Drosophila melanogaster: one gene and its partner. The protein of the gene in region 2 interacts with the protein of the main gene of each other region in a biochemical or structural test. Each region holds a gene or a part of one and is shown on either strand. Other genes may lie near its edges.

What was found. Proteins that work in one complex are often made in the same cells at the same time.
Region 1: of the proteins of toy (region 2) and Hipk, one has a biochemical effect on the other in vitro, tested with the Drosophila melanogaster proteins (one study listed by BioGRID).

The regions. Positions count from the first base shown.
Region 1 is NT_037436.4:544,127-549,101, forward strand, and holds the start of Hipk (homeodomain interacting protein kinase), read left to right. Parts: upstream 1-1,932; 5' UTR 1,933-2,072; intron 2,073-3,355; 5' UTR 3,356-3,652; coding exon 3,653-3,941; intron 3,942-4,975.
Region 2 is NC_004353.4:987,879-992,760, reverse strand, and holds the start of toy (twin of eyeless), read right to left. Parts: upstream 3,037-4,882; 5' UTR 2,510-3,036; coding exon 2,259-2,509; intron 696-2,258; coding exon 515-695; intron 1-514.

The sequences.
Region 1 (4,975 bases), on a different chromosome or scaffold from region 2:
TTTTGGCATTTATCAAAACAAAAGAGGAACAATAGCTGGCAGGCGGAAATGGAAATAACTGCCTTATCCCTTCTCTCCTAATCTTTCTCTTCTCTCCTCTCTCTCTCTCTCTCTCTTCTGTCACTCGTTTATCCTCCTGTGACGCTGCGTCATCATAATCAGCGTTTGTCGATTCATCAAAGAAACCGCCGCCGGTTGCTCTCTCCACTCTCTCTCTCTCTTTTCCTCCATTCAAGGATACCGAAAGAGAGAGATCGAGAGAGTGCCCCCTCTCCTTCACACTTCCCTCATGGGTTTCCTATGTAAATCATTTAAAGGGAAATTGTTGCACAACTTTAACGAGTTGATTGGAGGGGGAGGGGTGAGGCTTACTGCTTGTGGGTTTTCCCGGCGCAACCCTCATTCCCCCAACCCACTCGCCCACTTTGGCAGCTGTCAATTAGAGCTTACAGGGAGAAAAAATGAAAACCCGAAGCTTCCATATGTTAGCTGTCCCTCCCACAGGTCTCCGCCCCCAACAGCTGTTGGAAAATGAGATTAGGAGGTGGGGGGTAAGTGGGGACCCAGCTTTATTGGCCTGTAATTGATGCCCAGGCTGCCAACCATATTGCTGATTGAATTGTGGCGTTGTCGCTGCAGAAAAGAAGAAGGGTGTGGATGCACAGTCCAGAGGACTGACTGCTGACGTCGCCACCGAAAGCAGAACCCGTTCAAGCTGCAGTTAAGCAAGTCTTCTGCGGGGAACCCCCGGGGACACAGACTTGTCGAACTCGCATCCTGCTGCGCTACATAAACCCCGAAAGTCCATGCCAGATTTAATGACAAAGGCCACCGCCCATTACAATGTTGCTTAACTACCATAATTATAAACAAAAATATAATATTATGTTTAAGGCTTACCTTCTCTTTACTTTTGTGCTTGGGGGAAATTGCAATTCTTTGAAGCGCTGGCTTATTTACATAAGAGTAATAGGGAATTCACCAGTTTAGTTACCTTTTGTTTGGTTGCGCTTTTCAAGTCTAGGTTTTCCTAAGAATTGTTCTCCATTCCTTATTTTCAGCATGCTGGAAACCATATGCTCTCTTTTGATCCTTTGGTGGAAAAGTACCCCCCGTACCTTTTCTTTGGCTCGGCTAAAAATGTGTTCAATCCACGCAGCCATTTCCATCTCGTTCTATATGTGTGTAATTAAGTCTGTCCACGACGCAAGTTTTCCTCAGCGCCTCTTTTTACCCGGCGGCTGCCCAACTAAACCACTTTGGCCCATTCGCACATCGCAACCCCCTCTCCTCGACCCACCTCAACAAAAAACAAAAAAAAAAAAAAACTATTTCACAAGGTGCCCCTTTGCCGGTTCTTGGCCTCCCTTTTGGCTTTCTCCGCCCCTTCCTTCTGCTTTCTGCTGCCGACGCAAATCCTTACGTGTCAAATGGAGCCCCTCACACTTTTGGATGGCGCCCGAACAGGGACATCCACGTAAGCAATCAAGCACTTAATCGGCTATCCGACGAAGGATTACCCCTTACTGGAATTATTCATACCGGATCATAAATTTGTACAGATAAGACCAGTTTAGAGACAGTACTATATAGTATAGTATAGTAAGTGAAAATCCCTAAACATTTACGTTAAGGTCGAAGCAGAGGATACCCAGGATATTATAGGGTAGCAAGGGAAGGAAAAACCAAAACAACAACCACAGAGAAAGTAAGCAAAAATAATTTCGCGATTCGTCCCCCGGGCAGAGCCCTAAAAGTCGCAATTTGAGGGGTGGAGCCCTTCTCTGGAGCGGCAGGAAGTGGGTAGTGGAAGAGCGGAGACCGGGCTTGCGCAGGCGCCTGGAAGAATCCGAAGCCGAGAAGAGCGGCGAGTGTCCGCTCTCTTTTTTCGGCTCTGTGGCAACAAAGTTTCGGTGCCTCAATTCTTCGATTCAGAGTCTCCACAAACGGCTTCGCGAGCGGACGTTGCAGCCACAGAAGATACAGCCACGGCCGTCGAGGAAGTGGCAGCTACAGAAAGCCAAGATATATATCTGCATATACATATGACTGGCGAAGCTGCTGCGAAAAAGGTGCAAAACAAATTAAGATGCATAAATAAACACCGGACTCGCTGGCAGGTGTTTGTGAACTCTGCTTGTGTGTGTGTGAGTGTGTGTGCGAGTGCGGTGCTGTGCGGTGAAATATTACGAAAGAAAACCTTTTATGTTTTGCAATTTTCCCGCAAACAAATCAACGAGCATAAATATTAATTTTGGCTACACCCAAAATGAGATGATGGACAATAACAGCGGCAAGAAGAAGCGCTTTCAGAAACTTGTTTTAGCCCGGTTTCGGATTTCTCCGTCTTCCTCTTCTCTTCTCGGCGACGTAGTTAACTAAGAGCCGTCGTATTAGACGTTAGTTAGAGAGTGCGTGTAAATTGTCGAAGGGATATTGTGTTTCCCAAAGCCCCATCTGAAATATGTATTCTCACTGTTCATCTCTGTAATGAAAGCTGTGAATTTATCAAGTTACTAATCGGTATTGTGCGGATAATGGCCATCAAAACCTTTTGAGCTACGTTTTTCGATTTTACATTAGGCAAGGGTATCCGTAGGATCCATTTACTCGCCAGCTGCAGAACGAAAATCCATTCAGCAAAACTGTCTCTCCCTTTTCCACTCGCTGAGCAATCCATTTAATAACTTTGGAACCGGCTTGTGTTTGCTTTAATTTGTTGTTGTTTTTTGTGGATTTGTTTTTTGGGTTTGGCAACGAAAGTTGCCAATTAGGTTTAATTTTAGGGGGCTTCGTAGAATTTTCAGCAAAGTGCGTAGAAAAGGGTTTCGTGGTGTGTATCCGTGTGGGCCAAAAGTGCGCTAGTGTGCGTGTTGTTTGTGTGCGGGGCCAAGTGCGTATCTCCCAAATGTTTTTATTGTTGTTTGCTTTTTTCGTTCTTTTGTGGTTTTCATTTTTCGACACCCGAAATGTGTTTGTCTTGTTTTTATAGTTTGCTCTCTTTCACGCCGCTTTTTGCGTAGTTTAAAAGTGGAATCAAGTAAAAAACAAAACAATTACAGTAGAGCCTAGATGAGGAAGTTCTGCGTGCAAGAAACATAAAGTTACCAAGTTGCTGTACAAGCCTTTCCAAGGCATTACAAAATTACTTAAAGCAAAATAAAGTTATTTAGTTCACTAGTTAGTCTCCACTGTCAATATTTGGACAACACATTTGAATGGAAAGTTTCAAAAGCGAATTAAAATATAAACGTATGAATGCCGGGCAGGTGTGCGAGTGTGGTGATATGATATTTTTGGTACGTGATTTTATTCGACCATGCTAATGGCTATTGTGTTCTCCCTCTACTTGCAGATTCTCTTTTAATTTGGCATAAATTGTATTTGTCTTGAAAAAAGCATATTCTTGTAAATATATCCTCTTCGTAAAATATTTTACTTAAAAGCCTTAAAATATTGAATTCACGTGAAATTTCAAACGGTGTCACTCGAAATTCGCCAGTGACTCGCCGCCACGTTTTGTACAAACATAGTTTGTAAACATAAGTTTGTAAGCGGCCGGAAAAAGGCGAACGGAACCCAAAAACCCCAATGCAAGCCAACTGAGTGCAAGGGAGACAGCCGACCACGTCGAGCGGGATAGCATGCGCCAATGAAAACGTCCTACCCCCCAAAAGCGTCCGATTTCGTTGACTACGCCGTTGCCGGGGGCGGGGGATCCGGATTCTGTTCGGGATTAGGAGCGGGACTTTCAGTCAGGGCGACGTCCTTCTACGGCGATCAAACGGTAACGGCAACTACGGACGGGACGCGTCACCAGGAACAACAACAACAACAACTGCAGCAGCAGCAACAGCAGCATATCCTAAGGCAACCTGCAACATCCGCATCGACTTCATCGGTAGCTGCAGCAGCAACCAGCAAGCGAAAACGTCAAACAGGTGAGTTTTTTATTAGCCATCCAAATAGTTACTACAGACGTGCACTAGCTTTATTTGTGACTAGGCTTTCGAAATCCCCACCTATAGGTGTCAAAAGGTTTGAATTCGATGTCGATAACATGTGAATTCGATATATTATGTTATGCAGGCAGTTTTCAGTGTAAATCGGATTCGGATAAATATAAGTTATCGGATAAGTTTTTGCTTAGCTAAGCACCTTCAGCAACCACACGAATGAATCATGGGTAATATGTCCGGTTGATTGCCCCTTCCCGTGGTGATAGCACTCATCGATTATTGTGACAATCGCTTAATTTGCTTGAGTTATCGTTATCACACACGCGCCGTGGGCAAATGCGCCCTGTTGTTTAGTAATACTAGGCGCAATATTTATTATTATTGGTTGCCGTGCCATATTTCTGCCTCTTCTGGGCACTCTTATCGCCCGATTTCCCCCAGCGCCTCCCCTTTTTATTGTTGATTATCACAATAGACGCCATGGCAACTTTTTTCTTCTTTATTTTTGGTTTGGTTGGTGAGAGTGCAAGGAAGCGATAATTCGCATGGTGGTTTGTCGCCGTTTTGTATTTTTTGGGTTTGTGGACATTCTTAGACTTTGTTTTGTACTTCGGTTGGTATCTTTGGATTTTCCACGCTATCCGCGATTACGCTTGCATGCTCGAGCATGTCTGTCTTGGCGCTTGAAGAAGATTCCCTTCCATAATCCCTTTAAAATTTGCGATGATGTTTTCGCTGCTCGACTTGCCTGGCTTCATTCACATTATCTGCTCTGTGAATAGTATGAGTTATTGTTTGATATCTCACAAGGTCCCCCGCACCCCTGTTCCCCGAGCTCATTGAAAATTCCAGCGGACGCAATTACCACCCCAATTGTCTCCCAATCTAAGTTTTCGCTTTTGAGCGGCTCCGCCTCTTTGCTCGACTGTATTTTCAGTGTTTCCTTCGCTTTATTTATTTTTCGCTTATTGCGACTTATAAAAATATTTCAGTTGTTGTTTGCGCTCCCCATTCGC
Region 2 (4,882 bases):
ACGAGTAACTGTATCATTAATCAGAGTTTTTAAGAGAACAGGAAAACAACTATAAATAGCTTAAAGCTATAAGGCTCTATTAGAAAATTCGTTTGAAACAATCTTCCAGCTTTAAACTTCTAAAATTTTTAACTTAAGACAGAAAGAGAGGTACAGACTGGTCCTAGATCCATCCTGATCATGAATATACATATATATTTTTAAGGATCGAAAACGCTTAAAATGGTATGTTAGAACTTTTATTAGTCAGATCAGAGTTTTTAAGAGAACAGGAAAACAACTATAAATAGCTTAAAGCTATAAGGCTCTATTAGAAAGTTAGTTTGAAACAATCTTTCAGCTTTAAACTTCTAAAATTTTTAACGTAAGACAGAAAGAGAGGTACGGACTGGTCCTAGATCCTGATCATGAATATACATATATATTTTTAAGGATCGAAAACGCTTAAAATGGTATGTTAGAACTTTTATTAGCACGTGCAGAAATATTATTATGTGCGCAAAATATAACTTACACTTGGAATGTTATCACTATTGCAAACTTGTTCCGATAGCAGTCGATCTCGTATTTCCCACGCAAATATGCTGGGACATTCCCGTTTGTAATCTGCAATTTTTTGCACAACCGGGGTTGTAGCTACTCGTGGCTTTGAACCACCTATAGCTCGAGGTTTTATCGATCCAGTTTCATAATATCTAAAAAAAATAAACTTATTTACATTTTATCTGAGTAGTCATTAAAAGTAGATAATAGAATAAACAATGAATATACAATCAATTTAGATTTGGCTGTATATTTTCTTATTTTGCAAAGAACAGAGAATTTAAAAATACGTTCTTCTTAAGATATGATTTTGATTTTTATGTATTATGATCATAAATGGTGAATGTGTTTCAATAATCAGAGTCACACAATGAGAGATTGGGATGGGGGCCTGATTTCAAATTTTCATATTACGAAAATCATTGATTTTCTTACTCTAAAGTATTTATAATAGAACTGCTAATATCTGATTAGTTCCAATTATGTAACTTAGTAGTCGAAAGCCGTAAATATTCTCGGGAAGAGCAGTGCTTATAGTAAAGTAAAAAAGGACATTCCTCTAGTATTGATTGAAAAATCCTCTTTCCAAAATGTTAGATGAGCACAAAAAAACAATTCGGAGTGCAGTGCTTGTAAATGCGAGCTGCAACTTGTAAAAAGAAAAGCGCAGCGATTCATTAGTGGTGACAATGCTAAACGCCGTCGAAATGTTTAGCGTCGAGATAATAAAAACTATAAGCAAACCTCAGCGTCAACAGTCAACACTTTCAGTTGTAGACATTAAATTAGTTAAATGCAGCCGGTATATAAATATTTTGCGAATGGCATATAGGATTGAATATAGAATATATGCTAAACAAAATAACATAAGTATTAATTAGAAGCCAGGGGAGAAATGTATTTGTTAGTGTTGTACAATGGACAGCACTTGCAATACGGACACCAATAACGCCGTAAAGAGGTTCTTCCAACAAACAAATTTGGCTACTCGCAAAACAGATGCTAAGCAAGTTCTCTTTAATCATACGCAGTCTTACGATCATTGGTTAGTTGATACGAAATAGACTAGGAGGCATTCGGATCTTATGCATATAGAAACTACTGAAACGTTAGTAAGGCCATTAACTTACCAAAAACAGAGAGAATGCTATAGTCGAATTCCCCGACTATACGACTAAATACGAAAGCAAAATTGTGTTATTTTTCTGGGATCCGTTTTTTGCGTTTTGTTGGTGTAAGAAGGGGTGTGGCGAAAGTGTTTTTGGTATACCGATAGAAGACAAACAATAAAACGATTAAAAATCAACACTTTTTTTAAAAGTGTTGGCAATATGGGTCAACAAACTTGCGCTACGTCCATATCTCTACAATCAGTATGCCTAATTCCAACCATCTAGCTTTTATAGTTCCTGAGATCGAGACATTCATACGGACAGACGGAATATATACATACTTCATATGGTCGGGAACGCATCCTTCTTCCTGTTGCATACTTTTCAACAAATCTAATATACCTTTTGACTCTTTGAGTAACGGGTATAATAATCGAATCTTTCATATTTTCCAAATTTAATATCACTCCCTGGTTTAAACGCAGTGCTTATATAATAAAGTCCGAAGTCAGAAATTTTAGCTGAGCAGTTTGTTTGTTGGAGGCTACTTTCGTAGTTCCTGTTTAGTTAAGAAAATGTCATTATGCACTCGAAATGCCTCACCTGCCCAAAATTTTGCTTACGCAACCGTTGGACACTTGTAGTATTCTTGAAATATCACAAGGACGTGCGCCGGAATGAGCCAATTCGACAATTTTTTGACGCGTTGAATCGGGCAGTGGCCGGCCATTAACATATACGCCGCCCAGCTGATTTATTCCGCTATGGCCCGCCGTGGAGCACCCAAATAGAGTACTCTGCCCGACTGACGAGTGGGGATGCCCATGCATTATGTGTTCAGTTGTTAGCATCATAATTAATTATTTTTAATGCGGCGTTGGAGACTTCGACGGTGGCTGACGTGCGTATGTTTATTATTGAAAGTGAGAAAGTAGGATTACTCCCTTTTTCATTGTTGTTAGAAGGGGGGCTTCGTTGCCAACTTTGTACATCCCATATATATTATCTTCTTCACCTGGTAATCAAACTCCAGACTATCACTTCAGACGTTTTAACATTTATCACTTTTTACTTGCCAGGATATGAACTTTCACTTTATGAGTTTTGTTTTAAGTGTGCACGATGGAAAGCGTTAAAGTGTTTTAAAACTGTATCATAGATCGTTTATGAAAATGGTCCCGATATTTTCCGTCGAAAGTACGGGTCCGCAGCCCGGCGGCAGCGCCACGGATGGCGACCTAGTTTATTAATCTGGGAATAATTTGCATTCAAAATGATCGAATAGTGACGTAGGTATCGGTTTAAGCTTGAACAAAAATTTCTTTTGCTAACTGGTTTCAGTGACGAGGTGCGCACTTAGCCAAGCGAAACGTTAATGAGCTCTCATGCGAAAAAACACTGGCAAGAGCAACGGCTAACACATCGGCCAGCCATTTTGGCGGCGTTGCTCTAGTTGTCTCTTTTCATTTGCAGTCAGCGATAGCTAACAACGTTGCTGTTTTCCGTGCCGTGAAAAGAGATAGCTATAGAGACATGAGGAAGAGAGGCATTACAACAAAATCCATCGTGCGCACATCTGGCAAATAGGAGTTGCGTAGGAAAGAGACGGCTATGGAAGAAAGAAAAGTGTACCCTATCCGCTTGAAAATCTTTTTGAAGTTTTGGTTGGTTGTTAAATATATCGTGGGCAACTTTAACATTATGGATTCAGCGATAATAACGCTGGAAAATAAAACTGAATTTATATAAACATAGATGGTTGTGTATATGTGTAAGTCTTATTCATCATTGTATGCATATGTTTGGTTGTGATGATATTTTATCATGTTTAATGCACTTAATCCCTAAAATATTTGATTATATAACCATGTATCCAAAAGTTTAAGAATCTGATCATTCTGAATAACATACAATCTAATCGTTTGCCATACCTTTGTTTTAAAAAAGTATAGAACGACTAGTTATTTATTGCCCTGTATCAATTCCCCATCTTTACGTTAAGTATTATTATATTTCTGATGTCGGTTGTGTTAATATACAAAAATACATTCACATATAAAAACTATGAGTGCATTTTATTAGTTTTAATTTAAATTTAAAATTGAACAGCAATAAAAACGTATTCAGGAAGGTCAAACAGTATCAGGAGTTCAAAATGCCTTGCCTTACCTGTAGCGTGATCTGCGTGACTTGGGCTTGAGATGAAGTTTGTATTGTTAACTTTAAAGAGTATTTAGTATTTGTAAATTTTTTGTTGTATATCTATACAAAATATTAAATATGTAAATACATAAATTGTCTGTTCTGCTACTTCTGCTTGTATTTACATTTTCGATATCTATTATTTACAGAAATTAAACCCCCAAGTAACAGCATTCAAAACCTAAACCACCCCAAAAAGCCACCACTGAGCTTACTTGCTCTCAACATCCTGTCCGACACGTTTTTTGGATTTTTGAAGTCACACGCATCAACGAATCTATTTCCCCTTCCACCACAATTTCCATTATTGTAGTGCCGGCATCCAGTGTGCTGGGCTTCTTCAAAGGGGCATATTCTTGAATCGCCTTTTTGTCATTCCTATTGCGTGTGCCAAAAATTTCATGGCGCATTGTAAAGGTGACGAATCTGATTTTCCTGGAATGTGTGAAAATACCTTAATTTATATTATTTAGCGTAGTGTCTGGGCTGCAACAAATGCATATAACCATTAAATTTTGCACTCATGATATTTGATTTTTCTTGCGTACCTACTTACTAGTAGAGTCTCTATCGATATGCTAAACAATAATTTAGCCACGTCTACTCTAAAGCCTACATTTTGTTTGATGTTTTTTTAATTTCAATATCTTTATCAATGTGTAAAATAGAATGTCAGAAGGAAGCGCCTACATAAAGTATCTGTATTCTTGGTCAGGGCCACTAGCCGAGTCGATCTAGCCCTATCCGTCCGTATTAACGTCGAAATCTCAGGAAATATATAAGCTAACAGGTTGAGATTAGGCATATAGATTAGAGACATAGACGCGGCTCAAGTTTGTTGACCCATATCGTCAACTCCCACAAATCGCCCAAAACCGCCACGCCCACACTTTTGAAAAATGTTTTGAAATTATATCATATTTGTATTAGTTTTGTACATTTTTATCGATTTGCCCAAAAACCGCCCAGAGCTGACAGGCCCAGACTTCCGAAAAATATTTCGATAAAATAAACGCTAAAATAAA